6 linked regions of the Macaca mulatta genome follow. The protein of the gene in region 1 purifies or fractionates together with the protein of each later gene. This does not show direct contact. Links are inferred from orthologs where the notes say so. Each region holds a gene or a part of one and is shown on either strand. Other genes may lie near its edges.

The links.
Region 2: the proteins of WWP1 (region 1) and PTPN14 purify together in Homo sapiens (affinity purification with mass spectrometry; 3 studies listed by BioGRID). This does not show direct contact. The link is inferred for Macaca mulatta from reciprocal best matches to the Homo sapiens genes WWP1 and PTPN14.
Region 3: the proteins of WWP1 (region 1) and RNF11 purify together in Homo sapiens (affinity purification with mass spectrometry; 3 studies listed by BioGRID, with this or other methods). This does not show direct contact. The link is inferred for Macaca mulatta from reciprocal best matches to the Homo sapiens genes WWP1 and RNF11.
Region 4: the proteins of WWP1 (region 1) and PTPN21 purify together in Homo sapiens (affinity purification with mass spectrometry; 3 studies listed by BioGRID). This does not show direct contact. The link is inferred for Macaca mulatta from reciprocal best matches to the Homo sapiens genes WWP1 and PTPN21.
Region 5: the proteins of WWP1 (region 1) and SMAD6 purify together in Homo sapiens (affinity purification with western blotting; 3 studies listed by BioGRID, with this or other methods). This does not show direct contact. The link is inferred for Macaca mulatta from reciprocal best matches to the Homo sapiens genes WWP1 and SMAD6.
Region 6: the proteins of WWP1 (region 1) and SMAD7 purify together in Homo sapiens (affinity purification with western blotting; 3 studies listed by BioGRID, with this or other methods). This does not show direct contact. The link is inferred for Macaca mulatta from reciprocal best matches to the Homo sapiens genes WWP1 and SMAD7.

Annotation. Positions count from the first base shown.
Region 1 is NC_133413.1:96,936,184-96,940,659, reverse strand, and holds part of WWP1 (NEDD4-like E3 ubiquitin-protein ligase WWP1), read right to left. Parts: intron 3,802-4,476; coding exon 3,705-3,801; intron 3,251-3,704; coding exon 3,178-3,250; intron 1-3,177. UniProt on the Homo sapiens protein: E3 ubiquitin-protein ligase which accepts ubiquitin from an E2 ubiquitin-conjugating enzyme in the form of a thioester and then directly transfers the ubiquitin to targeted substrates.
Region 2 is NC_133406.1:72,248,543-72,253,478, reverse strand, and holds the start of PTPN14 (tyrosine-protein phosphatase non-receptor type 14), read left to right. Parts: upstream 1-1,589; 5' UTR 1,590-2,321; intron 2,322-4,936. UniProt on the Homo sapiens protein: Protein tyrosine phosphatase which may play a role in the regulation of lymphangiogenesis, cell-cell adhesion, cell-matrix adhesion, cell migration, cell growth and also regulates TGF-beta gene expression, thereby modulating epithelial-mesenchymal transition.
Region 3 is NC_133406.1:189,424,701-189,429,953, reverse strand, and holds the start of RNF11 (RING finger protein 11), read left to right. Parts: upstream 1-1,987; 5' UTR 1,988-2,235; coding exon 2,236-2,358; intron 2,359-5,253. UniProt on the Homo sapiens protein: Essential component of a ubiquitin-editing protein complex, comprising also TNFAIP3, ITCH and TAX1BP1, that ensures the transient nature of inflammatory signaling pathways. Promotes the association of TNFAIP3 to RIPK1 after TNF stimulation.
Region 4 is NC_133412.1:161,712,636-161,717,111, reverse strand, and holds part of PTPN21 (tyrosine-protein phosphatase non-receptor type 21), read left to right. Parts: intron 1-2,158; coding exon 2,159-3,591; intron 3,592-4,476.
Region 5 is NC_133412.1:44,192,337-44,197,609, reverse strand, and holds the start of SMAD6 (mothers against decapentaplegic homolog 6), read right to left. Parts: upstream 3,285-5,273; 5' UTR 2,224-3,284; coding exon 1,407-2,223; intron 1-1,406. UniProt on the Homo sapiens protein: Transforming growth factor-beta superfamily receptors signaling occurs through the Smad family of intracellular mediators. SMAD6 is an inhibitory Smad (i-Smad) that negatively regulates signaling downstream of type I transforming growth factor-beta.
Region 6 is NC_133423.1:43,376,721-43,381,772, reverse strand, and holds the start of SMAD7 (mothers against decapentaplegic homolog 7), read right to left. Parts: upstream 3,349-5,052; 5' UTR 1,746-3,348; coding exon 1,133-1,745; intron 766-1,132; exon of another isoform or gene 588-765; intron 1-587. UniProt on the Homo sapiens protein: Antagonist of signaling by TGF-beta (transforming growth factor) type 1 receptor superfamily members; has been shown to inhibit TGF-beta (Transforming growth factor) and activin signaling by associating with their receptors thus preventing SMAD2 access.

The sequences.
Region 1 (4,476 bases):
ACTTTCCCTTCACAAAATTTGAAATCTATTTTAATTCTCCCCTTGACTCAAAAATCACTCAAAAGTGGTAGATATTGGATCTACCACTTTAATTGAAGGCAGAGGTCTTCAAATTTTGGTCACAGGACTCCTTTTCACTCTTAAAAATATTGTCAACCTTGGCTGGGAGCGGTGGCTAATGCCTATAACCCCAGCACTTTCAGAGGCCAAGGCAGGAGGACGGCTTGAGCCCAGAGTTTAAGACCCACCTGGGAAAACATAGCAAAACTTAGTCCCTACAAAAAATTAAAAAATTAGCCAGGCATAGTGGTGTACACTGGTGGTCCCAGCTACTGGGGAGGCTATGGTGGGAAGATTGTTTGAACCCAGGAGGTTGAGGCTGCAGTGACTTGTGTTTGTGCCACTGCACTCTAATCTGGGTAACACAGCAAGACTGTCTCGGAAAAAAAAATTTCCAACTGCAAAGAGCTTTCATTTATATGAATTATAGCTACTGATATTTAAAAGTTAAAACATATTTTATTTATATGAATTATAGCTACTGATATTTACAAGTTAAAACAGAAGTTTAAAAAGTATTAATTCATTTTGATATGAAAATAAACATTTTAATGGGAAAAACCCAAGTATTTCCAAAAAAATATAGTGGAAAGAGTGATTTTGTTTTATAGTTTTGGAAATCTTTTAAATATCTGGTGTAACAGAAAACATCTGGATTCTGATATCTACTTGTACATTTAATCTACTGCCCCACACAGAAAAATAGTTAGAAATAGAGATATACTCTACTCATCTTGTCAGATAATTATCGATATTATTCTTTGATACTAAATTTGACAAGGGAATGCACAATATGGTTCGAAATCAGGTCAAAGAACACTTTGTACTTTGTTATACAAAATTTACTGTTCTCTCTTGCACTTTGTTTTTGATTTGATTTGATTTTTTTTGAGACAGGGTCTTACTCTGTCACCCAGACTGGAGTGTAGTGGTGTGATCATGGATCGCTGCAGCCTTGACTTCCCTGGCTCCAGTGATCCTCCCATCTTAGCCTCCAGAGAAGCTGGGACTACTGGTGTGTGCCAACACACCCGGCTAATTTTTGTATTTTTTGTAGAGACGGGGTTTCACCATGTTGCCTAGGCTGGTCTCAAACTCCTGAGCTCAAGCGATCCTCCCACCTCGGCCTTCCAAAGTGTTGGGATTATAGGTGTGAGTCACTGTGCCCAGACTCTCTTGCACTTTGAATAGATCTTTTACTCATGCGTCATTTTGTAACATTTGTTGTAGCATTCACTGATCATTTGAAAATAATGACTCATTGAATTATAAGGATTTTCTAAATGTTGACTCATTTAATTATATAATAGGAAAAAAAAATCACATTTGTTAAAATACCACTAATCAGCCGGGCATGGTGGCTCACTCCTGTAATCCCAGCACTTTGGGAGGCCAAGACGGGTAGATCACGAGGTGAGGAGTTCGAGACCAGCCTGACCAACATGGTGAAACCACGTCTCTACTAAAAATACAAAAATAAGCCAGCTATGGTGGTGCGCACCTGTAATCCCAGCTACCCAGGAGGCTGAGGCAGGAGAATCGCTTGAACCTGGGAGGCGGAGGTTGTAGTGAGCTGAGATCGCGCCACTGCCCTCCAGCCTGGGTGACAGAGCAAGACTCCGTCTCAAAAAAACAAAAAACAAACAATCTCACTAATCTCATTGACGAAAGTCTTCAGAAGCTCTCAAGCTCATGGTGGTAATTATCACCACCAACAAATGCCTATTGTTTTCCTTAAAATGACAAGCTAACAACATTACTTCTCAAGAAAATGTCTGTCAAATACCTAAGTCTGCATAAACTGCTGGCGGTCATTTTTTCAAGTAAAAATAGTGTTCCATAAAAGAAAACAAGCTAGTTCAGTTTTCAACTCAAACAACTGCCCAAGAGCTTTCCTTTAAGAAAATCATTCTCTGGTGTGCACAAGTGCTATTTCAGACTTCCTATTTTGTCACACAAATGTTAAAAAAACATATACTCAAGCATCAAGATTGAATAAAGTTAGTAATTTTTACTGCTTCATAAAGAACTTCAATGAACCTGCCTTTTTGCTTTTTTTTTTTTTTTTCCCTTGCTTTAAACCTCAAGTATATGGTGCTGAAGAATACAGAGGTAGTAGCAGTTTGGTGCCACTGCCTTGATTTATGCTAAGGCACAAGCAGGTTCACAAACCATTGCTTTTGCACCACAAGTAGAAATTTCAAAATGATAAAAAGGCAAATAATGGCTTGGTATGAAAATAGTTTTGACCTCCTGAAAGAATCACCTATCTCCAGGCTGTCATCTTTGGCCTGGGTAACTATAACAATTTCCTAACTACTCTCCCTGCATTCACCCTTGCATCCAACTCCTCCCCTATACTGTTTTCCGGCCGATTTTTCTGGGATTTATTACTTGCTATTTAAAACTTTTCAAAGCTGTCTAATTTTTCTTTGATATCTCAGTTCTTTATATTAGCCTATAAGGCTGTACATAATTTAATCCCTGCCTACATCCCCCAATTTTTTTCATCTCCCTTTCTTCTGATTTACCAAGTTCCAATCATACCTATCATCTTCATTTCCTTGAAAAACAATTTCTTCAGGGTCTTTGCTTACTTTGGCATTTCTGTGCAAAGAATGTTCTTTCTCTGCTTATTCCCACAGCATGCTCATTATCAAACTCAACTTAAGCAAATTACCCCTTCCAAGAAATCTCCCTGACCACTCAACCCAGAGTAGGTTCCCATTAGTTGTTCTCTATTAGAGTACTCTCATTTTTCCCTTCGAAGGACTTACCAGGATTTGCAAATAGTTATTTGTTTATCTGTTGTCATTTGCGCCCCACCATGGGGCACAAACTTCATAAAAGACAGGGAATACTTAAATCTTACTTTATACATAGTGGGTACACTAATATTTGTTGAATCCATGGATGCATTTCTCAAGTATTTCTATTAATGAGAACACGCTAAAGTGTTCAGTTATAGAATGCTGTATTAATCAATGTGTTCTCAAAATTGAAATTCTGACTACTTTAATGAATACGCAGTTATACTGGATCTTACATATTTTTAAAGGAACAAAACAAAAGATTCTCTGTGGCTTTCACCTTCGTATTTAGGATTCTTGAACTTACCATGTATGGCTTCTTGGTAACCAAGTGTCTTTGCCAACTTTTTCAATGCAAAACTTTTGAGGCCCATTACTTCCTACACCAGGAAAATAAGACAAAGTTTATCTGGTCCTTTAAACTTTTTTCTTCTGACAACTACTTAAATAATAGAACATGCTGCATAATCATATGAATGATACGAAATAAAGAAGAAATTCACAATGTAAGCTGCTTCTGCCTGAAGAAGCTTCTTACTGTTGCAGAGATCCAGCAATAAGAATTAAATCAGTGGGAAGAAAACTATTTATACAGAATGTCGCTCCCTTCACAGTCACCCTAGGGAGCAAAGCAATGGCCACCTCAGCTATATGAGGAGACATTCATTTTTGTCTTACAAGTGCTTTGATATTAGCCATTCATTTTTCTTTCTTCTAAATGAAGTCCTATCTACAGCACAGAAGAGTAATCTTTAGTTCAAGTCTACTGTATGTCCAAAGGCCATTATTATCACAAAATTATCTACAGAGAAATTACAGTGAAACTACATTTACCCATGAGCTCAGCAAATCCTCCTAGAGGTAAACGGCAGGTTCCAGTGACGAACTGCAGTAGTCGCATTCTTACTTCATTGTCTGTCTCTTTCACAAACTGTAATGAAATCCAATGTACTTTAATATGAAATAAATGCTAAACTATATTCAATCATGAAACTAGTACACACTTGAAGAAATTAAATAACACTGAATTGGTTGAAAAGTCGTGTGAAAAAGTGGTTGTAGGGTTTGTCATTTAATAAGGGTGGGCACCATGCTAAGCACACTGTGAACCTCACTTCAGGTCATCCTCATGAGAACACGGAGGCTGGCCACCATCATTACTACGCCCATCTTACAGCGAGCAAAGACACGAGAATCTTGGCAAGGTTAAGTCATTTATGTAAGGTCAAACAAAAGGTGCAACCAAGATAGATGTTGTTGTTGGGCTGTAGTATAACAGCTATTAAGGGTTCCTGCCAAATAGTGTGCCAATGGTTTTCATGGATTTAGTTCTCACAATTCTATGAGATAGGTAGAATCATTAGCATCCCCACTGTACACATAAGGAAATGGAGGCCTAGAGAGTTTAAATGATTTGTCCTTCTTAAACTGCTAAAGTGGCAGAACTAACATTTGAACTCAAGTCTAGATGAGCCCTAAACCACTGTTATTCCTCCCTGAGTCAATTACCCATCTCCCCTTTAAGCTACAGAAAACAAATGAACACCTCTCTGCTGCCACTCTTAATAGTCTATGGTATTTTCTCCCACAAAACACCATTTTCCTA
Region 2 (4,936 bases), on another chromosome or scaffold:
TTAGGCCTGACAGACTAGGGACCTGATCATATCTTCCTAGTTGTATGACCCTCAGTGAGACAGGTAATTTCTTCATGCCTCACTTTCCTCATCTAGGAATGGGGGAGTGCTTTCCACACTTTCTGGAACACAGTCAGGCACTGCCTAATGTTTTCTTTGGAAACCTAGCGCGTCTGTACAGCTATTTCCTTTAAAATGTGAGAAAGTTGATTTCCCTTCAACCTTTTCTTTCCATCACTTTTGCATTGCACTCGGCGTTTTCTCTAATTCTTTATAGTTCTAGAGATTGGCAGATGCTCGAAGAAAATCAGAGTCACTACGGATTTATTTATTTTATTTCATTTTATTTTTTTGAGACGTAGTCTGGCCCTGTAGCCCAGGATGGAGTGCAGTGGCGCGATCTCGGCTCACTGCAACCTCCGCCTCCCGGGTTCAAGCAATTCTCCTGCCTCAGCCTCCCAAGTAGCTGGGACTACAGGCGCACGCCGCCACGCCCGGCTAACTTTTTGAATTTTAGTAGAGACGGGGTTTCACCGTGTTGCTCAAGCTGGTGTCGAACTTCTGAGCTCAGCCAATCCGCCCGCCTCAGCTTCCCAAAGTGCTGGGATTACAGGTGTGAGCCACCGTGCTTTTTGGTTTCCAGTTCTCTTCCCCAAGAGGCCAGGAATTTTTGCATGAGTTGCCAGACACTGAAGTGATTTGGGACAGCACATTCTGTGACAACGACTTCAAGGCTCTTTTTCAACAAAGGACTGGAATCTTAGCAAGATAACATATCCCAAGACATGTTAGCAATGCAAAGGACCACAGAAATCTAGACAAATTCTTTAATTTTACAGCTACAGAAACCTAGGATCTCAGGGGCTGGGATACTCCTCAGTTATCCAATCGGGCAGGGCCTAAAACTCAGGTTCAGTCTCCTGGCTCCAAGCTTTTTCCATCATACCAGCTGCGTCTCATTAACTCCACCTCCGAAAGTGCTAAGGAAGTTCCCTCCCAGTGCCTACCCAAGCAGGGTGGGGCGATTCTGTGGCATGGAACAAACCGGGAAAACGACATTTTCCAACTCTCAGCACAGAGGCTGCTTTTTATCATTCCTAGGGGGCAGGAGGGGGCAGGGAGAGAAGGCTAAGACACCGGGTCCAGTACCCAGAGGTTCTAGGGAGAGATCTTTGAGATTGCCTACTTGGTGAGGCCACCTTACTTTCTCCTGGTCTGTTTTCCCCTGTGGGGTGGCTGCATGAGGCGTCCTGCTTGGAGGGTTCCCCAATATAAGGTGGACTGTCCTTGATCTAGGTCGGGGTGGGCAAGATCCTGCCGCCATCCCGTCTCTGCGGTCCTCGGAAGTCTAGGTGGGATCTTCCTTTCCTTGCCTCTTTCTTCCCAACGGCGGGAGCGGCACAGGGTTGGGGTGGTTGCGGTCGCCTCGCTCTCTCCACTTCAACGTCTCTTACTCCAGGGAGTTTCATCCGGTCCTCCGTCCTCGGCCCCCACCTTTTAAAACATTTTCCAAAACTACACCATTAAAAGTGCGCGACTTCTCCGGGCCTGCAGAAGGAGCTCCTGCAGCCCGGCATTCCTCGGATTCCAGCGCTGTGACGTCCCCAAGGACGGCGCGCCTCCAGCTTGGGAGCTCTGGAGCTGGGGCTCCACGTTTCAGCGCGCGCCCGCGGCGCCCCCGGCGCGCGCCCTCCCGGGCCGCATTCCTCCCCGCCCCCGGCCGCGCGCCCCGCGCTCCCTCCGCCTCCAGGCCCCCAGCGCTGCCGAGCCCGGCTCTGGGGTGGGGGAGCCGTGGCCGCCGGCGCTTGCTCCGTCCCCTCCCACTCGCACGGCCCCTTCCTCCCTCCTCTGCCGGCCGCTCGCATTTCCTGCCGCTCTGGCTCTCCCGGCCCCTCAAAGTTCTTCCCAACTTTTTCTCCGTGGAGTGAGCGCAGGGGACGCAGACTCGGGGGCAGGTTGCTGTGCTCCTCCGGGCTCGGCCGCCTGCTCTGCTGGCTCAGGTCCTTGGGGAGCCCTAGACAGACACAAGTGGCCACTGGCGCTCCTTCCCCTCCCAGCTGAGCCATCCTCCCCGGCCTCCTGGAACGGGACAGCCAGTGCTTAGGTTTTTCTCCTTTTCTTCCCCGGTGCGCCTCTGCTCCGACTCTCGCGCCGGGATCGCGGCGGAAACCTCCCTCCCCTTTCGCCTCCTGCGGCTCCTTCCCTTCGCCCCTCCTCCGCCAGCCACTGGAATCAATTCCGTGGGGAATCGGGGCTTCGCCGCCGCGAAGGACAGCCTTTCCGCGCGGGACTCCGGGGCGCCACGGGGGCCATGTAAGCAGGTAAGCCCCGTCCAAGCCGGGGAGTCGGGCCCGAGGTTGGAGGCCGCCTCGGCGCTCCGGGCGCCCTGCAGATGACTTGGGCAGACGCTGGCAACGCCAACTTGCGATTGGCGGCCCGGGACGCCTGGCAGGGCAGCGGGGGCGCTGGGTGGCCGGGCCGCAGGGGTGTTATCTCGCGGTGGGAGCTGCCCGTGGTGAGGCGCAAAGCTTGTCCCGGAGCGAGCTGGAAGGTGAGCGCCGTCTGGGGAGTTTGTGGTTAAACCCACACCCTCGTCTTCTCTCTCCCTTCCCTTCTGCGTTTTGGGAATGAGAGAGGGCCTCGGAGGGGCACCTGGAGATACCTAAACCTTGGGGGCTAGAGGATGAAAGACGAACGACGTCGCGGTCGCTGCAGCGGTAGGGGGACGCAGCTGCCCGACGCCCCCAGTTACCCCCCCACCACCACCGGGAAGGGATCTTGAGGCGAGCGGAGTTTTCCTGCCCTCTCACTAGGCCTCAGTGGTGCCACCGAACTCCTGGGCGTCGAGGCTCCTACTTGGGTGGTCGGGCTGGCTCGTAGAAAAAAGCTGTGGTCACACAATTTCAGATCAGGTCTCCACCTCAAACTTTTCAAGTTCTAGGTATTAACAGCCTCTCCTTCCCCACGTGACCCCCAGATCTCGGGTTTGAATACTTGTAAATGGGTTTTACACCTTTTCGTTTGGAGAGAGCAGTGAGGTAACGCTGCCCCTACCTCCCTTTTCCTCTCACTTCCTTCAGTTCCTGTCCTCCAGCCCCCTCATCCCCACCTACAATTTCAGAGATTGTAGGGTTTCCGCTTAAGTCTGGGGACTGGCTGTCGCAGGTTCTTTGTGAAGGTGAGAAATCTCTAGATTGCAGGCGCGGGCAGTTACAGAGTTTCCACCAATGTGTTAACTTCTTGAAATGGATTAGTTTACTCATTCATCCAACAAACCCAGCTTCCACTCTGCTAGAAACAGGGGATAGAAAGATGCTAAACGAGATCACAGGGCAGGAGTCTGCAGCCTAGTGGAGGAAACCTGAAGGCAGATGAAGAATGATAATGCGTGGAAGATGGGTTCTGTGAGAGTCTGAGGCGAGCTTGGTCCTGGTGAGGCGTGCACTGCGCTTAGAGAATGGAGGTTGTGCTCATCTGGAGGGTGTATTCCAGGCAGAGGAAACAGCTGGTGCAGAGTGAACACAAGAAGGACCGAAAGTTTCCCTAGCCATCTGGGGGCCCAAGGGGCATTTATGGCCATGTTGGTGCGGTGTTGCTGGGATAGCATTCTCTCCACCCCCAATATAAGAAATTAATCTAGGAGTGCGTTAGCCACTGATGGGAACCACAAGTAGCTTCCAGTGGAGCCAAGGCCTCCCTCTTTGGATACACTTCCATGCCTGCTGCTGTTTTACCACAAGCAGCTGTTGTATGATCATCTAAATTTTAATTGGCCCATGCTCGGTTTCGTTAACATGGTATTGATTATTCTTCTTTTTTATCCCCCACATTCAAACAATGATTCCTTTTTTAAAAGGCTGCTTGACAGCCATAGGTGTGGTAATATAAGGCTTTACGGACCTTGTATTATAAAGTTACCTAATTGTTTGGTGATGGGGTTAAAGCTTGTGCCATAGAAATGACAGCCTTAATGAGCGGGAGCTGAATGGCATGATGCCCTTTTTGCCCAGTCTGAATGGGTGGCCATGTGGTGCAAAATTAGTTCATCTGTATGTCACGAAGTTTGTTATACTTTTCTCTACTTTGAAGTCATTACTATTGCTTTAGCACGCACAGTTGTAAGGACTGTCGTTCTTCTCTCTGAAACTTTATGAAAATAGAAAACACTATCTTCTTGCAGATTTTTGTAGCCTAATGGCCCAGGATTCAGCAAATCCTGGCTAGAAAAGTTACTTACAATGCAGTAGCGTTCTGTACGTGGTTTGCCTTTCAAGGGTGCCTCTTCACTGGACTGAAGTGGTGCTGTAGTATTGTTCCTAGTGGCTGAGTCCTGGCCGAAGTGGCAGACATCCAGCTTTTGGTGACCTCAGGCCAGTACATCAGAGTAGGAAGAACACAGTGACTTCCTACACCTTTGGGTGTTTATCCAAGCCCCTCGACCAGCATCTTTTCTTATCTCAAGAACAGCCCCTTCACAGAAGGTTTCCTGAAGGTGTGGGGACCTGCATGAGAGACATGGTTGAAGAGAAGCCCTTTCCCGCGAATCCCAGGCATTTGCCCAGTTTCCATCATTGGCTTCAACATGTAATTATTATTAACACTTGAGTTATTCAGGTTTGTGCATACTGTGTCACGCTGGTAGCTGTACTAGAAAGAACAGTTAGACTTTTAATAGGGAAGCACCATAAGGAATTCAGAGAAAAATCAGAATTTTTAGAATAATTCTTACTTGCCCTGGACGTATGGGCTAAGTGTCAAGAACTATGAGGACTTTTTATTTTCCAGTGCCTTCCTTCCTTATTAGAGGTTTAAATTTGCTCCAGGGAAGCAAACATCAACCCTTTGATTGCATATTATAGCCCTCCTGGGTTTCATATTCTTGTCATTTTTGAGCAAGGATTTCGTCAAATTCTTGCATTTGAGCTTCATTACTTAG
Region 3 (5,253 bases), on another chromosome or scaffold:
CACTGCACTGCAACCTCCACCTCCCAGGTTCAAGCAGTTTTCCTGCCTCAGCCTCCAGAGTAGCTGGGACTACAGGTGTGCACCACCACATCTGGCTAGTTTTTGTATTTTTAGTAGAGATGGGGTTTCACCGTGTTGGCCAGGCTGGTCTCGAATCCCTGACCTCAAGTGACCCACCCGCCTCAACCTCCCAAAGTGCTGGGATTACAGACTTAAGCCACCACACCCGGCCCAAAATTATGAGTCTTTTCAAAAATTTTATATCAAAAATTTGAGTGCATTTAAATAAGATAGTGACTTCGTAGAATAGGGACTGCAGAGTAAGAGTGTTCAGACCCATTCAAGTTTAATATAGCCCTACCTCTAAGAATCCTTTCTGTTCCTCAAATGAACTAATTGCTGTCTTCTGGTTCCTCTAAAAACCTTGGGGTCCGTGGCAGGGTGTGGGCTTAGGACTCATCTGATTACTTGTCTTCCCAGGTGGTCTCTGGGCTCTATCAGCAACAAGCCAGGTGTGATCATCCTTTTCCCCAGTCCTTAGCGTGGATTCTGGTATATACACGCACACACAAATTCAGTAAATGATGAATAAAACGAAAGGCAGTCAAGACCACCTGTTGAATGAACGTCTATCAGGAGCACTGTCATCCTTGCTTCCTTCTTTTGCATATGTTGTTTGAGCTGTTCATTGAACCAAGGAGAGAGCATACTCTACCTTGGGCAGTGTGCCAGCCTTGCACAGAGGGACAGATGATTCAGCTTGATCGGGCTGTGTGAGAGCACAGAGGAAGCGACTAACCCAGACTGGAGGGTCAGGAGAGTCTCCCCAGGGGAAATGAAGTTGCATCCAGAAGGATTCCTGAGAATAATGATTAGCCTGATAAGAAGCAGAAAGGTTGGGAGTGGAGAGAAGCGGGTTTCTGTGAGAGAAACAATATGGACATAGGCCCCAGGCAGAGGCAATAGTATTCCAGATAACCAAAAGCATTTGAGAGCCTAGTTTAGAATTTGAGAAAGAGGTGACAATGCTGATAATGAGATTGAAAGGAAGTCAGATTTGTAAACCATTTAGGGATTGTTTTAAGGACAGCCTTGAGGAGACATTGAAGGTTTTAACAGGAGAATGACACGATCCGATTCAAATTTTAAAAAGATAATTCTGTCAACTGTGCCAACAGTGAATTGGATGTGGGCAATGATGAACTCAGGAACAGCTGAGAGTCTATTGCAGAAGTCAAGGTGAGAGATGATGGTGGCTTGGACTTTGGTACTGGGACTGGAAAGAAATGAACAATCTGATACACAACTGGAAGAAGAATCTCTCCAGCTGTGATGTGGGAGGATAAGGACATGACTGGAGAGGTAGGGAGGGTTCACTAACGAGCTAGGACCTTATTCTGATGCGATAAAGGGGAAGCCTTTTAACATTTTAATCATGGGCCTAATCCATTCCGATATGGGTTTATATAAATAGACTGCCTCGTGGAGGGTGGTGAGAAGATTGTCAGGCAGTGCACAGGTAAGAACTGAGCCTTAGACGGGGCGGGAGCAACGAATGTGGGTTGGCGCGGGAGACGGGAGATTGGTTTCGGAGTCAGGTACGGAGCCAAGCAGTCAGAGACAAGCAAAAATTGACGCAGGACGGGGAACAGCTGCTGGTGGAGAGGGGGATGGTAGCCGCCGGAGCCGCCGGAGCCGCCCTCGCCTCCTGCCGCCGGGGGCGGAACCAGAGCACGCACGGCGCGATGACGCAGGGCCCGAGCCGGCCTCGTTCTGGCCGCCACTGCCGCGCTGAGGCGGAGTAGGATGAGGCCCGCGGCCGTGGCTCCGGCGTCGGCGGGGGCAGCAGCAGCTGAGGCAGCAGCTGAGGCAGCCGCGACGGCCGCGCCCCCCCCTGCTGACCTGGATTAGGCCCAGCAGCTCCGTGGCCGCCGCCGCCCCGCGGGGGGGCGGGGTGGGGAAGTGCTTCGTCTCCCCGCCCCCCCCCCCCATCGCTGCCTCGCAGGAGGCAAACGCCGCGACCCCAGCGGAGCCCGCGGCCCAGCCTTGAGCCCCCACCCCCGGGGGCTGGCATGAGCGGCCCCTTGGCGGCACCGTGGGGCGGTGGAGTCGCCTCCGCCTGATCCCCGGCCTGCCGCCCGACCCCACCTTGCCAACCGAGGCGGACCGCTGAGCGTGCGAACGACCCCATCGCTGCTTTCTCCTCCCCCAGATCACGCACCCCAGCTCCGGAAGATGGGGAACTGCCTCAAATCCCCCACCTCGGATGACATCTCCCTGCTTCACGAGTCTCAGTCTGACCGGGCTAGCTTTGGCGAGGGGACGGAGCCGGATCAGGAGCCGCCGCCGCCATATCAGGTAGGGGAGGGTGTGTGTTGGGGGGAGCAAGTAGAGGCAGCTCTGGTGGAGGTTGAGGGGGCTTCGGGGCCATCTCTGCCCCTGGCTTCGGCAAGGCCTGGCCTGGGCGGCATTGACCCCCTTAGGGCTGGATCTGAGGGCATTTGCTCTCTGATCTCAGAATAGGGTTGATTCTTCGCCTCCCCTCGGGCACCGTGTGGGGATGATACTCTCTGCCCTTGAGTTCTGGGATCAGAGTATGTGATCACATCCCCTTGGCCAGTGTCTGGTGGTTCGCTTGTGGAGTTTGGGAGTGACATTTTCCTGCCTTTATGTCTGAATCGTATGATTTCCTCATCGCACCGCCAACTGGATTATGGGTTCTGGATAGGTGGTTGCCAAGCACCCCCCCCCCGCCCCATTTATGTTTTCATGTGTGGTCATCCTCTTACCCCCTCCCTCGTCTTTTTGTTAATTGGATCTGGCAGGTCTTCATTTCTGCCTCTGCTTGGGAGACGGATCTCCAAGTGGTGATTTTAACCCTAGCGACATCGAGTTACTTGTTTATATATATATATATTAATTTTAATCCCTCCTCCTTTTGCTCCACCCTTATGACACACCTTTTAAACGTGCTGACTTAAGAAAACTTGATTAGCTTCAACTTTGGAAACCTTTAAACCTAGCTTGGGAAATTCCTTCGGTTACGCGTGTTCGCCCTTTGTATCAAAGACTCTCCTGAATATGTTTTACTGCTTTTTGTACAACAATCAGTAGTCCCAGATGTGTTGCAGAATTCGAGTGAAGACCTCTTAAACTCTAAATAGGTATGTGGATGTCATAATCCACAATATATGTTTGAAAACCTTTCCTATACTTTTTCCATTTTAGATGATACTGAATACAACCTTTTCCAGAGGGCTTCAATAGTAGTAGTACTTAATTTTTTCCTAAAGAGTTTAGTTTTCTGGCTGGGCAGGCTCCTTTGTTGTTTCATGTGATGACATCATTATCTAGTATTTTCTTTTCTCATTCCTGTGTAAACCAATGTCTCATCACACCAGAAAAACCTGATCATATATGCTGGTTGTCTGAATAAAACTTTTCTGGGGCATTTCGTATATACCAGTAAGGTCCAGTCTTGATTGTGGTATACAGAAGCCTCCGTAACTTCTCTCTCTTACATTCTGTATTCCAGGCCTACCAAATACAACACGCTGTTCACACCTTTGTTTTGCTCCAGTTCCTGTCTGCTTGGAGCCCTTCCCCCAGGTCAGCCAGGTGGACATCTAATCCTCTTTGAGAACTCAGTTTTCGTATTTGAAGTCCCAGCATTCCCTTTCCTCCCAGCCTGAATCCCTTGCGTCCCCACTGAAACCTCTACACTTCCATAAGCGATATCTATAACACTTTAGTGTTGTATCTTTGTTAAATGTGTGTCTCATCCTTGCATTCGCCTCCTTCAGTACAAGCTGCATGAAGGTAGAGAATCTGTGTTTCCGGTTTGCTGTTGTATCCCTCGCATCTGCCTCAGTAGGTACTCAGTAACTGGGAGATAGATTACATGTAAAAGCCCTTGAGAACAAGGACTCTGCCCTCGCTCAGTTTCTGGCACATAAGCACCTAAATGTTGAATTAATTAATGAAGTTGAATTTAGTATTTTCTGTATTTACACGACTATTTTTTCCAAAGTAAGTTGTCACAAGGGTAGTCTCTTAAAAATCAAAGCTGAATCTGGGTGTCTTTATAAGTACCTTTGAGTGAAGCAAGCAAGCTATGTTTATCCTTCACTCTCTTTCCCCTCTATATTTACTATACAACAAGAGTGCTTATTTCACTTTTTTTTTTTTTTTTTTTTTAAATGAGACAGAGTCTCGCTCTGTCGCCCTTGCTGGAGTGCAGTGGCATGATCTCACTGCTCACTGCAACCTCTGCCTGCCGGATTCTAGTGATTCTGCTGCTTCAGCCTCCTGAGTAGCTGGGATTACAGGCACGTGCCACCACGCCTAGCTAATTTTTGTACTTTTAGTAGAGACAGGGTTTCACCATGTTGGTCAGGCTGGTCTTGAACTCCTGACCTCAAGCAATTCACCCACCTTGGTCTCCCAAAGTGCTGGGATTATAGATGTGAGCCACCGCATCTGGCCTGAAGTTTTTATTTTAAAATCTCTTATGCTCCCTACCCTCACCCCCTTCTTTTTTAAAAAAATAGAGACAGGGGCTCCTATGTTGCCTAGGCTGGTCTTGAACTCCTGGCCTCAAGCAATTCTCCTGCCTCCTATCCCCTTTCTTTCCAGGCAAATTGAATATCTTTGACTTGTTCTGTTTCTCCTATCCTTACGATAATTGTACTATTAAAGGTACTAGAGTTTATGGAAAGTGTGTTTGCCTTTTCCAGAAGAACTAGGTGATGATGAGGGATGAGGGGTTTTTGGTGTCATGAAGGAACTTTTTTTGGAAATGTTATATTTTTGACAGTGGGAGTTTTTTATGGTTGCGCTTTCCTGAAGTGAATGACGCAGACTAATACACAAATTCAGTATCAATTGGAAGAAAATTACTTTAAAAGATGGAAGCATAAAAAGAAACTTTTGGAGGAAAAGTATTGTCCCCCACCCCCAAAGAAATAAGATCTGTTTTAGGAATGGTTATTTTAGATGATCTGAGAAACAGCAATCCAAAGTTATTTATTCATTTATTTGAGTTGGGAATCTCCCTCTGTCATCCAGGTTAGAGTGGATTGGTCACTTGGCAGCCTCAAACTCCTGGCTTCAGGTGATCCTCCTCCCTTAGCCTCCCAAAGACTGGAATTACAGGCATGAGCTACCTCACACAGCAGATTTATAGTACTTTCAGTTGATAAAAGTAACCTTTTCAATAAATTGTATGTAATTAACAGTGAATAGCTGATTGTA
Region 4 (4,476 bases), on another chromosome or scaffold:
CTGCCCCAGCCTCCCAAGTAGCTGGGATTACAGGCACGCCACCACGCCCAGCTAATTTTGTATTTTTAGTAGAGATGGGGTTTCTCTATGTTGGTCAGGCTGGTCTTGAACTCCCAACCTCAGGTGATCTGCCTGCCTCACCTCCCAAAGTGCTGGTGTTATAGGCATGAGCCACCGCCCCCAGCTACAGGATCATTCTTTTGCCTAGTGTTCGAGACTTCACACAATATTCACTGAGCCTGCTCTTCCAACCTTACTTCCCAAGTTATTTTACTCCTCTGTAGCTATCTGACACTCCAGCCACCCCATCTTTCCGGGGGGTGCTCCCTGGCTTTGCCAGTGCTGCTCTGCACCCCCAGGTGCCCTTACCTCATGCACCCTTCTGTTCACATGCCATCCAGACCAGATAGGCAGGGCTATGCTGTGCTGAGAAAATATTCCATTCCAAACTCTCAGGGAAGTAATAGTAAGGGTCACCTGTCCATTGCACACTGCACTAGCAGGAGGGCTCTGCCCTCTGTGAGTCTGCGGTAGGAGCTTGAGCTGGAGAGCCTCTTCTCTCTGGAATGTTGTTTGTTGGTCAGTGTTGCAGTTGGAAGAGAGCCTGGAAGCTGGCTTTTAACTCTCTGTACACTTTCCCTTGACCATTACTAGTCGCATTGCTGTGCCTGGTATCAAGGGGTGAGGAGGCATAATCCTGCCTGCTCTGAGAGGTTGAGAGACCTCACTTCTGATGGAAGCTGGACATGCCCACCTCACCCACTTACCCCTCAAGTCCCCTTAACTGCCATATCTTCTGCGAGGTGGTTCTTGGTTCTCTCTTCCTTGTCCCCATCAACCCCACCCAGGCTGGAAATGACCATTCCTTCCTCTGGACTCCTGTAACCTTTTATCTCTTCTCCCTTCCTTGAATTATGGTGATTTCATGCATACCTTTCCCCTTTTCGTGCCTGTATTCCAACTGTCTTTTTCCCCTTCTATTCTCAGTATTGCCTTTTCCACATAACAGTACCATAAATGGCTAGATGGTTTGTGGGGTGCAGAAGCAGGGAGACTAGGTGGATATAGAGCTAGTTCAGACAAGCCTGGGGTAGGGGCCCGAGCTGTGACAGCAGTGAGAAAAGTGGGATTGCAGAGATGGAGCCACGACCAAGCTTTGCATAGACAAGGAAAGCACAGTGACAAGGAAGTGCTGTGTGTCAGCAGAAGAATACCATGGAGGTTTGAATGCTATTTCCTCACAGCCTTATGTGCCACCAGAATAAAGTGTACCCACCGGGTTGTGGCATATTAAGTATCACTTAAATCACTGTGGAGATTTTGAAGCACAAATAATGCCTTTCAGAGGAAATTGTTATTTGAAGGAGTTGGCTGCTGAGTGTTAGAAATCATCTAGGGTTAGAAATCATCCTCAGTAACAGAAGGCAGGTGAGCTACAAATTGACTAGAAGAAACATGGCCCCTGTCATCCCTGGGCAGGGACACATGCATAGCTGTTGTAAGATTAGGTTAAACTGATTCTGTTAGCTGCAGGTCTGAATCTTCCTGAAACATGGGAGCCAGGGCAGGGGGCAGCTGCAGCTGTTTTAATGTGACTCCTCTTGGCTCTGGACACTTTATGGGCTGTGTGGCTGCTGGTGACACTGTTGGACCAGAGAAGCTCAGATCCTGCTATACCATTACCCTTTTACAGTCGAAGCTTGTGTATTCATTTGGGAAGAACAATCAAAAATTCCAGTTAAGGAAATGCTTACAGACAGTCGGTGCTTGAACTGGCTCAGCAGCAGCAAGGCCACATCCCTACCCAGGGAAGAGAGTCCCCAGCCCAGTGCCTTGAATGGTATCTCTGCCTCAGCTTCCCCAGAGTACCAAAAAGTCTGCTAGTCTGCTGTGTGTGTGGTTTGTTTAAGACAGGGTCTTACTTTGTCACCCAATGAATGCCACCCCTTAAGTAGGCAGAGCCACCCCCATCCTATAGATGAGGAAGCCGAAGCTCCCAGGGTCACTCAGATAGTGTGGCTAAAGCTAGGTCATTTTAGCATGGATTTTTACAAGCTGTGTTCAAATGTCCTCAGAGGTAAGGGCCGATCTCAATATTTGGTTGGAGTAATTAGTCCAATTAAAAAAAAATCTCATTTTGAACTTATTCTTTTTCTAGATAACCTCTTTGTGCCCAACCAGAACGGATACTACTGTCACTCTCAGACAAGCTTGGATAGAGCCCAGATTGACTTCAATGGTCGGATTCGTAACGGCAGTGTCTACAGCGCACACAGCACCAACTCCTTAAATAATCCTCAGCCCTACTTGCAGCCCTCGCCGATGTCGTCCAACCCAAGCATCACCGGGAGTGACGTCATGAGGCCTGACTACGTCCCATCCCATCGGCACAGCGCCCTGATACCCCCGTCCTACCGCCCCACCCCAGACTATGAGACTGTGATGAAGCAGCTCAACAGGGGCCTGGTGCATGCGGAACGGCAGAGCCACTCGCTGCGAAACCTCAACATCGGCAGCTCGTACGCCTACAGCAGGCCCGCGGCGCTGGTCTACAGCCAGCCCGAGATCCGCGAGCACGCGCAGCTCCCCTCGCCGCCGACGGCGCACTGCCCGTTCAGCCTGAGCTACAGCTTCCACAGCCCGTCTCCCTACCCCTACCCCGCCGAGCGGCGGCCCGTGGTGGGCGCGGTCAGCGTGCCCGAGCTGACGAACGCGCAGCTGCAGGCGCAGGACTACCCGGCCCCCAACATCATGCGGACGCAGGTGTACCGGCCACCCCCACCCTACCCGCCCCCCAGGCCAGCCAACAGCACGCCCGACCTGTCCCGCCACTTGTACATCAGCAGTAGCAACCCCGACCTCATCACGCGGCGCGTGCACCACTCGGTGCAGACGTTCCAGGAGGACAGCTTGCCCGTGGCGCACTCGCTGCAGGAAGTCAGCGAGCCCCTCACCGCCGCGCGCCACGCGCAGCTGCACAAGCGGAACAGCATCGAGGTGGCCGGGCTCAGCCACTGCCTGGAGGGCCTGCGGCTCAAGGAGCGGACGCTGTCCGCGTCGGCGGCGGAGGTGGTGCCGCGAGCCCTCTCGGCGGGCTCCCAGCCCAGCGTTTTCACCGAGAGAACGAAGCGGGAAGGGCAGGAGGAGGCGGAGGGTTTGAGATACGGCCATGAGAAGTCCCTGTCAGACGCCACCATGCTGATCCACAGCAGCGAGGAGGAAGAGGACGAGGACTTCGAGGAGGAGAGCGGGGCCCGGGCGCCCCCTGGACGTGCGCGCGAGCCCCGGCCTGGCCTAACCCAGGACCCACCTAGCTGCCCTCGCGCCCTGCTCGCCGGGCCCCTGCACATCCTCGAGCCCAAGGCCCACGTCCCGGACTCGGAGAAGAGGATGATGGACAGCAGTCCCGTCGGCACGACCGCAGAGGCCCAGCGGCCCTGGAGAGACGGGCTGCTGACGCCCTCCATGTCGGAGTCCGACCTCACCACGTCTGGCCGCTACCGAGCCCGGAGGGACTCCCTGAAGAAGAGGCCGGTGTCGGACCTCCTCTCTGGGAAGAAGAACATCGTGGAAGGGCTCCCGCCCCTGGGGGTAAGCCACGCGGCGAGCAGTGCCCGGCCAGGGGACTGCGCCTTCGCCCTGGTGGTTCTTTCACTCATCACGTCCCGTGTTTTTCAGCTCCTCTTGTTCTTCTAACGTTCTTCATTCCCCCACGTCACTTTTTGTCTAATTTTGAACACATTGAAATTTACATATGGAAATCATGGGGATCCACTTGAATTTTAGTGGTTTTACTGGAGATTATTATAGATGAAGTGAAAAGGTTAAATTCACAGGGCTTTGTCGAAAGGAATGGAAAAGATGAAAGGTTTTAGTAACGCAGTGTTAAGGGAAAGACAGTTAAGGTTTCATGACTTTAGCCAGGATTGCTTTAGCCACCCATTAAAAATACTGTGGGTGATGCGGCACCCACAGTATTTGTTTAGTTTGTTGAAGAGATACCTGAGAAAAGCATCCAGGAAAGTGTTCCCAATCCTAATATAATTCTCCAGGTTGGAGTGTGTGTAGATATAGCTTACATATCTTGGCTGTGATTCTCCAGAGTGATCCTGGAGTTGGGAAGGTGGCACTTTGTCAAGGCAAATCCTGAGACGTCCAGGTTTCTTAAATTTAAAAGAAAGATGAATTCAACTGAGAATCTAAGGAAAGTCCCTTGTAGAAGATGCAATTCTTTAATATTCGGCCTAATAAATAAATATGAATTAAGCACTTTTTACCTACTTTGAAGCAAAATATAAAAAAGCATAATAGCATCATCTCTAGCTGCCATCCTTGGAGCATTTACCATGGGCCAAGTATTTCCTCTACTTTTCTGGCCTATTTACAGTAAGCCTATTGTTATGCCTGTTTTATAGTTGAAGAAACAGACTTAGATATTAACTAACTTTTCAAGGTCATATGACTAGTGAGTGACTG
Region 5 (5,273 bases), on another chromosome or scaffold:
GGAAAGCTGTCAGCAAGAGGAAAAGAGTGCATAGAAAGCCTGGCATGGGCCACAGATCAGGGACTGCTCATAGATCCTAAATTAGGACTGGAGTTACCATGAGGGGAGTAAGGTGCCTGATCAACCATGCCCCTCCCCACTCACCCCCATCAATGCCCTCTATGCAGGAATCATCACTGAGGGAAAACTTCCTTTCCTCTCCAGACACTACTCCACACACAGACAAGACACCTAGGACAAATGCACCATCCTAGGCCCATCTTCCTCTTCCACACAGAGTCAGGAGACCTAAGATCTGACCCTCTCTGTGCTCCCAGCCTGGGTGCTGACTCTCCCCAGGGAAGCCAGAATGGAGGGATTCATAGCCCTCCCAGGCTCAAGAGCCTGTGACTCCCTGCCAGTCCCACCCCTGCAAAACCCCAGTGTCACCTGATGGATTCCCATACATCCCTCAGAGGCTAGCTACAGGCTAAAATATGTGTTCCCCACAAGGCAGAGGTCAGAGCAAGGCAAGTAAGTGCAAGCTCCTGGCCTGCTGGAGCCTCCTGACCTGCTGGAGCCTCCGCCTGTCTGCACCTGAGCACCAGGGCCTAGCCGGGTAAGCAAGGCTAAGGGTGGGGTGTGTGCAGGAAATCCCAAGAGGAGAACAAAGAAGGGGGGCAGTTCTCAGAGGTAATCGAGTATCTGGCTTCTTCAACTACTCACAGATGCCACCAAGACCCTAAACTCTATACAAAAGCTGAAAACAAAAGTTGAGAAGGACTATGGAAGACCCTGGCACTTGACACCCAAGGGGATGTGGGGAATGATTATACGTGGGGAATAAAGACGGTGCTCTTTACTCCAGAGAGGGATTACCCTGCAAAGCTTTGTCGAAAGTATACAAAGGCACAAATTGGGCATTTGACGAAGACTTTTGATTCTAGCTATGATTTGTGTACACCCAATTTCACAACTTAAAGCTGCTTGGACATAGAAAAGCACAGTATGGGTAAGGGCACTTGCATACAAATGCTAGAAGCCTGGGTACAGACTGGGGTAGATTCCGGAATTGAGGTAGGAGGAAATAGTACCTACTTCTTTGGTCTCTCCTTGGCCTGCCCTCCCCTTTCACTGCCTATGAAGTTGGAGCCTACATCATGTCCCTGAAACTGCACAGAGAAAACTACGACGTGTACCCTTTTAAGTTTACCGGAGACTTGAGATAAAGTTGCCACTTGAGGTGTGTGCTGGGATACCCACTCCCCTCGGCTGGGCTAAGGCGCCTCTCCTGGTGGCTACCACGCTCCAAGGGCACCCGAGGGAGCACCCGCAGCTGCGCCGACCCGCAGTGTCACAGAGAGAAGGGCAAGGAAGGGGACGGGGACCGGGAGCCGGGGCCCCGCCGGCCGGCGCAGCGCGCTCACCTGGCCCGCAGAGCCGGCTGAAGTGGTAGGGGTTGCAGCACACGGTGGGGCCGTCGGCGGCGGCGGCGAAGCTGTGGCAGCCGCACAGTGGCTTCAGCTCCACTGCGTGCTGCAGGTCGGGCCAGCGGAAGAGGCGGCCGAGCAGCAGCTGCGGCGGCGCGGGCTGGCCGCCCAGGCGGAGGTCGGCTCGCGGCACCAGCACGCAGCCGCCCGGCACGCCGCCGCGGGACTCCACCGCCTCCAGCAGCGTGTCCAGCGAGCGCTCCTTGAGCCGCTTCAGCAGCGAGTACGTGACCGTTTTGAGTTCCTGCTCCAACAGCAGCAGCCGCGAGCGCGCTTCGCGACTCCGCCCGCCGCCCGCCGGCTCCAGGGCCGCCCCGGCCAGGGGGTCGCTGGCGTCCCGGGGCGCGCCGGCGGCGTCCCGCTCCGAAAAGAGACAGCAGGTCACCGTCTCGCAGTCACTCTCGGGCAGCCAGCCCGGGCCTCCCGACTCCGCCACGTCCAGCAGGGAGCCCCCAGCGCCGGCCCCCGGCTCCGACATGGGCCTCGGGGGGCCCCCTGCGCGCCGGCGCCTCCCCGCGCCCTGGGCGCCTCGCTGTCCCACTGCGTCCCGGGGCCGCCGCGGGGCTACCGGGCGGACTTCGGAGCGGCCGCAGCCTCCGCCCTCTCTTGCCCGCGGGGCCGGCTCAGCTCGGCTGCCCAAGCTCCCATCCTCGTCGCCGCCACCACCGCCGCCGCTGCCGCCTTCCTCCCGGTCGGGGACCACACGACTTCGCCAAAGTCGCCGCACCAGCCCCGAGCGTTTGGACCTGAACATACGATATCCTTTGGCGCCAGGGGTGGGGGGGAGGCGGTCTCCGGTTACCGGGGGTCCGTTCCCTCAGCGAGGCGCCGGCTGCGCGGGTCGCAGCCCCACATGAAGCTCCGCCGCGGAGCGCCGTGCAGACCGTGCACAGCCTGTCGTCGAAGGGGCGCCGCAGGGCGACAACATGAGGGAGCTCGCCGAGGCGGGACGGCCGGGAACACGCGCACGCCGAGCCGCAGTCCGCGCGCGGCCAGCGGCTACACGGACCGCAGCGTCGGGGCTGCTCAACAACTCCAGTCCCCGCGCTTTAAGGGGCTGCAGGCGGCGCACCGCCAGAAAGACCCCACATGGGCCGGCGAGCCTTCAAAAGTTGCGCGGCTGGTCAATGAGCACAAAGCGCTCGCGCGAACCCCCAAATGTGTTTGGAAAGCCCTCCCTTTCCCCTGCCTTATTTTAAACCAAAGCGCTTAACTACATGGGCTTTTCCTGCAGGATCCGAAAGGCAGGCTTGTTGATAACCCCAGCTCCCTTCTTACTCCCTGCAAAAAGAAAAAAAAAAAAAAGGAAAGAAAGAAAAGGAAATCCCAAACAAAACCTAAATCCCTGGATTTGCATGCACGAAAGGCCAACGCCGTCTCAGGTCCCAGGCGCTAGATGCACTTGGAGCGAGTTTCTCCTGGACGCGGGTGTCAACACATGAGTGGAAGCTGTAAAAATCCCAAAGAGCTGCTGGGAATCCTTAATTAAAAATGCAGTCCACCGAGGCAGAGGTCGCAGCCCGCCCCACGCTGCCCTCGGACGCTTCGTGCGCCGACGCTGCCGAGGTCGCCCCCCCTCCCCCCTCCACAAAAGTGCCTCCCGGTGGCCCCGGGGTCCCAGCGAGGTCTGGCGAGGCAGCGCCCAGCGGCTCTTTCTCTCGGCTCGGCTCCCTCGATCGCTCCCCTGCTCCGCTCGCTCTCTCTTTTTTGTTCTCCTCAAACGCACACTGAGGGCCCCCGGAGGAGCGCCGCGGAGTCATTGGCTGACTCCCATCATATGCCAGTCTAGACACTTTGGCGGCTCCGCGGCGCTGATTGTTGCGCAAACAAGGTTTCAAGTTTCTTAACTCTTAAAGGAGAACACGTCCCATTGCAGGGCCGGAGGCTCCAAGGGGCCGGCTCCCGGGGCGGGCCGAGCTCTGGCCCCCGCCCCACACCGCCCCGGCACCCCAGCCCAGGGCCTGACAGCTCCCGCGGCCCGCTTTCTGCCTCGCGTTGTGCCCAGGGCATGGATGCGAGCGAGCACACACGCGCCCGCGGACACACACACACACATACACACAGGGTTACATGAGCCACGGGCAGGCGCGCGAGGCTCGGCGGACCCACTGAGACTCGGACGCAAGCGGGGCGCTTTGCCTCTCCCTGGCTTGTGCACAAACTTATAAACACACTTTGCACTTTACAGTTGTTCCAAACCCCCATCCCAGGGCAGGCTAATAAAAATGGGTGTGCGTGTGTGCCTTCCTGGGTTGAGCCTGAGGAGCAGGGGGCGGCGGATATGTTGGGGTAGCGGATCTTCCGTGACTGCACGAGGGGCTCTACGCTCCTTGCACAAAGTTGGGGGTCGCTCTGCCGGGCCAAACAGGGAACTTAGGGCGCTTTGCGCACGGTGGCTCCAGGCTCGCCCCGAGTGGAGAGATGGAGAGGGTGGTGTAGAGGCGGGGAGTGTCTACTCGCTGGCTCCTCTCGGTCGCCACGGCCCTCCCTCGGAGCGAGGCGGGCCGCCGGCCGGCCGGGCCGCCTCCAGGCTGGGTGCTTCCTCTCCCCTCTCCAGTTTACTCTCCGCACCTCGGAGAGGGCTGTAGGTGAGGGATCACGCTTTCCCTAGCGAGGTTTCCATGCGAAAATTAGGGTGAGTTGGGGGCGGGATCCGGGGCGCGGCGGCAGCAGCCTGACGCCTGGCGCGGGAAGGGTTAAGGCCGCTCCTGCCCCTGGAGCCGGCGCGGCGGGGTACCTCCTCGGGCGCGCTAGCTCGTCCGAGGGTGGCAAAAGTTCAAGCTTGTAAAGTCGGGATTGGTCCCGCGCGGAGGGGAAAAAAGGCCTGGGCCCCCCTCCCCCCCCGGGCGCGGCGCCGATTGGCCAGGCCGCGGGGCCGGCACCGCCCTCTCCCCCCGCTCTCGGCGGCCCCACCCCCGGCGCGGCGCCCCGCCCCTTTCCGGGCAGGAGCCTGGCCCCGCGCTGAATGAAAGAAATTCCGCTACTCTCATTGGCCCGGGACTGGACGCCATTCTCCCGCGGTGGCCGCGGGGCGCCGGCGAGCGGGTCTCCCTGGAGGGTGGCCACGCGTGGGGCTGGTCTGTGGCGTGCGCGGCGGTGCGAATCCCCGGCCGTGCCCAGAGGCTGTGTGCGCTGGGGGAAGGGTGGCATTTGCAAGGAGGATTCAGAACCATTTGCTGAGCTTTACCTGGAGCCAGGTACTGTTCGCGCTGCGCTCTCTGGGAGTGGCGGTTGCTCCCCGAACGAAAGATGGGACTGAGACACTTCCTCACACCCATCTCCTACTTTGGCCAAATTAAAGTAGCGGTCCTAGCCTCATTTTCTTGTTTGAAACCGCGGATAAGGATGCTTGCCCTTCGTGCTTCACAGAACCACGAAGCTCCCTGGAGATTGTGCACGTTAAATGCACAAATCTCAAGCGAACAGCAGGATGAATTTTCACAAGTGAACAAACACACAAGATGTCACCAGCACCCAAAAAGCAATGCACCCCAGAAGCCCGTCTTGTGGCCCCTTTCAGTCACTTTTCGCCCCTGGGGAAATTAATACATCTTCAAATACAAAGAGAAACTCAATGTATTTTCTTTTATCCCCGTGTCTGCTCTTTGTGGATTATCTTTGACTGTGGATTACAATAATAATAGTTCATGCGTATTGAGTCGTTACTATGGGCAAGGCAATGTTCCAGGACTTAGTTAATTCTCACACCACTTAACATAGGTACTATTATTATTAATATATAAGAACTTAGCATAGTTACTATTATCTCCACTTACAGATGAGGAAAACTGAGGCACAGGAACT
Region 6 (5,052 bases), on another chromosome or scaffold:
TCCACGTCTGCGGCCGCCGCCGCCGCCGCGCTCGGCTGGCCCGGCTGGAAACCACCGGCTCAGCCGGAGCCGCGCACTTCACAGTTCACAGGCGGGGGGCGACCATACCCCCTCCCCGTTCTCGGACTCCAGACCCAGCTCCCAGCAACCTCGGTTCCCCGCCCTGGCCCGCCCCCCAGGGGTGCAATTCACCTCCGCCCCCGCCGGTCCGCTGGGCACCCGCGCGAGGGACACGGGGCTCCCCATTCCCAGCGCACTCGGGAGATGCAGCCCAAGCGTGCTGGTGAACTTGGGGGATCTGCGGTCGCCCGGGGTGAACCCTCACATCACACTCCGTGTACAGAGACATACAGAAAAGGAAGGAATGGAGAAAGCTGACAGGATAAAAGGGAAGAAGTTTCAGGGTCTCAGCCGAGAAGCCCTGGCCCCAGCGCAGTAAGGGGCGACAACGTCACCGAGGCGCAGGGCCCCACTAATCTATAGACTTATCTGTGCGGAAGGAAGGAAAAAGTAGGGGACACCCAACTTCTCCTGGCTGTTTGTTCCTCTGCACCCTGGGGCTGGCAGAGTTGAAATGAGACAGATACCCAGTTCGGCCTTCCATCCAACTCTCTTTGCCCCAAAACTCCAAAGCTGCGCGGCCACGACAGTGTCTGGGCCACTTGTGTTCGACGTGATTCTCCTTATTTACTGAAGGAGTAAATACGGAGACCTTCCAGCCTTTTTATAGCATGCTTCTCCCAGCCTTCCTTGGCGGGCCTGGACCAAATCCAACTCGGTCACACACCTCAACGCCTTTCCGGGTGCGGGGAGGCGTGACCCCCCCATCTCCCTCTGCACCCCCTTGTTGATCCGGAAATGAAGGCGTCTAATTTTTAACCGCAAACTGTGTGCAGGAGCAGTGCCCATAGACCCCTTCGGGGCAACACAGGAGAAATCCTGGAAGGGAAACCCCAGGGAATGCCCTTTGAGTTTCCCCGTGTCCCTTCTCTACTTTCGGCCCCCAGTCTCCTCCCAGGAGGGGATGCACACTCCCCCTGGAGGGGTGGCTGCACAAACGCACTGCCCTAAGGGCTTTTCTTCCAGCACTGGCGCGCCGGAAAATGCTGGGGGTAAGGGGACAACTTCTCACCTAGTTCGCAGAGTCGGCTAAGGTGATGGGGGTTGCAGCACACCAGCTCGGGGTTGATCTTCCCGTAAGATTCACAGCAACACAGCCTCTTGACTTCCGAGGAATGCCTGAGATCCGGCCACCTGAACACTTTGCACAGCAGGAGGGGGAGCGAGTAGGACGAGGGCGGCTGCGCAGGCTGCGCGCTGGCGGGCGCCCCCGGGCCCAGCCTGCAGTCCAGGCGGCCGGGCAGCAGGAGGCACGCGGTGCGCGTCCCGCCGCGGGACTCCACGGCCTGGAGCAGCAGCTCCAGCTGCCGCTCCTTCAGTTTCTTGAGCACCGAGTGCGTGAGCGCCTTCAGATCCGCTTCGGCGCCCCCGGCCGCGCCGGCGCCCGCGGCTGGCGGGTGGGGATGGTGGTGACCTTTGGCACCTCGCACCGCCTTGCCCAGGCAGCATCCAGCCCTGCCCGGGCCGCCGCCACCGGCCCCATGCGCTCGGCTGTCCGTCGCCCCTTCTCCCCGCAGCTCGCCGCCTCCTCCACCTCCCCCCGCGCCCTCCTCCTCGTCCTCGCCGCCGGGCGCACGGCTCCTCCAGAGACGCCGGACGAGCGCAGATCGTTTGGTCCTGAACATGCGGGGCGAGGAGGCGAGGAGAAAAGTCGTTTGGCGGCTAAGGAGCGAACATGACCTCCGCACACCATGAAGAAGTCGGGCGCCGAGTTGGGGCAGCAGGCGCAGGCGACAGCAGCAGCAGCAGGGGCCCGGGCAGGAGCGGCGGCGGCCCGAGGGGCGCTCCGTGGCATGCGCCAGTCTCCCGGAGGCCGGGGCGCGCGCGGGGGCCCGGGGGCGCCCGCCGGGGATCGGGGGCCTGCGCTCCGGCTGCCCCACCCCGCGCGGCCCGCGCCCTGCGCGGCTCTCCGGCCCCGGCGCGCCCCGGAGGAACCCGGCCGCCGCTTCCCTGGGGACGGCCGAGCCTGCCCCCGTCGGCGCCTCCCCAAAAAGAGGCCCCCCCGCAGTGGCTCCCGAATGTCGGGCTCGCCAGCCTCGGATTCCTACATGGAAGGTCCGCGGAGGCAAAAAAGCGAAAGGCGTTCGGCTGGGCTGCTGGAAGAAGGAAAAAGCCTCTTTCCCCCTTGCTAAGCAACTTAATTTGGGGGTGGGGAGAAGCAGGCAATTAAAAAAAAAAAAAGCAAGCACGCAATTTATTTTTTTTCTCTATATCCTTAGTAACCGGATCTCCTCGAATTCTGTGCACACGAAGACTCAGGGGAGGGGGCCGAGTGGACTTCACCCCGCATGAGATGTCTGGCGAAATAAGAAGGCTCTCGCAAAACCTAACAACCAAATATGCAAAGCCCCAAATGAAAAACACCACCTCCTCGAACCTCTGAGGTCTGGGGGCGTCCGGCTGGAGCTGGGGTTTAAAAAAAGAAAATGTTTACAAAGTATAACAAGATGTTTGAGGGGTGGAAAAATGTATCCACGAGTTACATCCCCCCCTTTTTTCCTTGCAAAGCCCCGCTGGTCTTCCTCTCCTTCTGCCAAAAAAAAAAAAAATCGTGTATTTTTTTAATCCACAGAAAGCTTTGGCTAGACCGCTTCAATCCTGCGCATCTGGGTGGTTTAGGGGAGTCTCTGGTCTTTCCTCCTGCGCTCCTGGGGGCCCAGGTCCTCGGCGGGGACTTCCTCGAGGCTGGCGGGGGCGCAGGGGCAGAAGATGCTGCGGCGGCGGCTGAGCCCGGCGGGGCTGACAGCGCGGGGGAGGGCGGCGCGGCGGCGGCGGCGGCGGAGGGCCCCAGGCGGGTCGCGCGTTCTCGCCCCCCCTGGGCACAAGCTGCTTGCTAGTGCGGGGGCCGCCGGTGTCCCTTCCCCTGGCCGCGGCTGCCCGCCGAGGGTCCCCGCATGGGCTGCTCGCCTGGCCCCAGCAGCGGCGGCAGGAGGCCCCGGTGTCCTCTCGGCGCCTCCTCCTCCGAGACTCTCCTCGTCGCGCCCGGGAGCCTCCTTGTCCCCGGTCCGCCCTCTCCTGGCGCTCTGGTCCTTCTGCCGCCGCCAGGGGCTCGCCGCGCCGCACTCTGGGGCTCAGGGGCCGGGCGTTCGGCGGCTCGGCGGCGGCGGACTGGCTCTGTCTCGGGCAGCTCTCTCCCGCGCGGCGAGCGGACCGAGCACGGCGCCCGGCTGGCTCGGCTGGCGCGGCTCGGGGACAAGATCTTCAGTGCGCCGAGCAGCAAGCGAGTGTGCCCAGACCTCGCCGCCTCCCGCAAGGCCTCCCGCCCCCGCCCCCGCCCCCTTCCCTCCCCCTTCCTCCCCCTTCCCTCCCCCGCCCCCAGCCGCCGCCGCCGCCGCCTCCTCCCCGCCCCCCCGCACCCCCCCTCCGGCCCTCTGCTCGGCTGGTTCCACTGCGCAGTGGCGCGCCCGGCTCCGGCCTCGTCACGTGGCCGTCTAGACACCCTGTCGCTTTAAAAAAAAAAAAAAAAAGCGATTGTGTTTCGCAAACAACAGATCGGGTTTCTAAAAGCTATTTCTCCCCCCAACCCCCCGCCACCGCCACCCCCTCCCGGGGCTGTAGATGGGGTACCGACGGAGGGGAGAGAGAGGTGGGGGGCAGAGAAGCTCCCAGAATCGATTGAGCCCCGGCGGGAGCCATGGAGAAATTGGAAAAGCAGGGAGCACCGAGCGGGCTTCGCTGCGAGTTTTGGAGCTTAGAGAGCCGGTCGGTGGCCCGATTTCGACCCGGCTGGGCTTCGCGGTGGCCATCTCGCGCGCGCTCGCTCTAGCGCTTCATTCATTGGTTTTGTTTTAAAGGCCCTGGCGGCGGATCCCTTGGCCGCGCCGGAGGGCAAGGGGAGGAGAGCGCTGTCTCGGTTTAAAAGACATTTATACGGGACTGGACCGAGGCCCCGGGAAGTGTGCGCTGAGGGGAACAGCCGCCGAGGGCGGGGAGGCGGCGTGAATATGACCTCAGCGGCGGCCGCGCGCTCCCTCCCGCCCTCTCCGCTCCGGGCTCCGGTTTCTAGGACTGCCTGGAGAAGTGTGTCTTGTGCACAGCTATGGAATGCATTTGGCCGGCTGACGAGCTGCGAGGGGCAGCCTCCTGGCGGGAGAAGGGGAGCGGGAGGCGGGGGCTCGCCTGCGCGCCGCCCGCAGGTTTCCTCCCGGGCCCGGAAGACCTCCGCCACCAGCCACCCTGCCTCCTGGCGCGGGAAGGTTACCCAGCGAGCAGACCTGCCTAGGGCATTTATTTGCATGCAGGGCCTGTTTCTGGGCCTCGTAGCTTTCAAGGTGCTTAGGGTCAGAGAGTTTATACCTTGACCCCAGGTCCCGAAGAAACATATACTCAAGCTGGCGAGTTACTGCATAGAAACGGGCATGGCATTGCTAGGGCATGAACGCATATACAGCGTGAAAGCTGATGGCTCTGAGAAACGTAATTATTTAAATACACACACATCAGTATTGATGAGGCCACTGGTTGGCATGGTGATCTAACCTCACTTCATATTCAGTGAAATACGATTTAAAAAAAAAAAAAAAAAGCCATTGAGAATTATGAGATCAGGCCCGCAGTGAAACTCATTGGGGGCTTTGAAGAATCTTTTTTCTTTTAAGAGTCTCACTCTTGACCCAGGCTAAAGTGCAGTGGCTCGATGTCGGCTTCCTGCAGCCTCTGCCTCCCCGGATCAAATGATTCTCCCACCTCAGCCTCTGGAGTAGCTGGAACTACAGGCGCTTGCCACCACACCTGGCTAATTTTTGTAATTTTTGGTAGTGACGCGGTTTCACCATGTTGGCCAGGCTGATCTGGAACTCCTGACCTCAAGTAATCTACCTGCCTCGACCTCTCAAACTGCTGGAAGTACAGGCGTGAGCCACTGCACCTGGCCTTAAAATAATCTTTAGAAAAGGTGAAATGTGCCGGGGCTTGGTGGCTCACGCTTGTAAT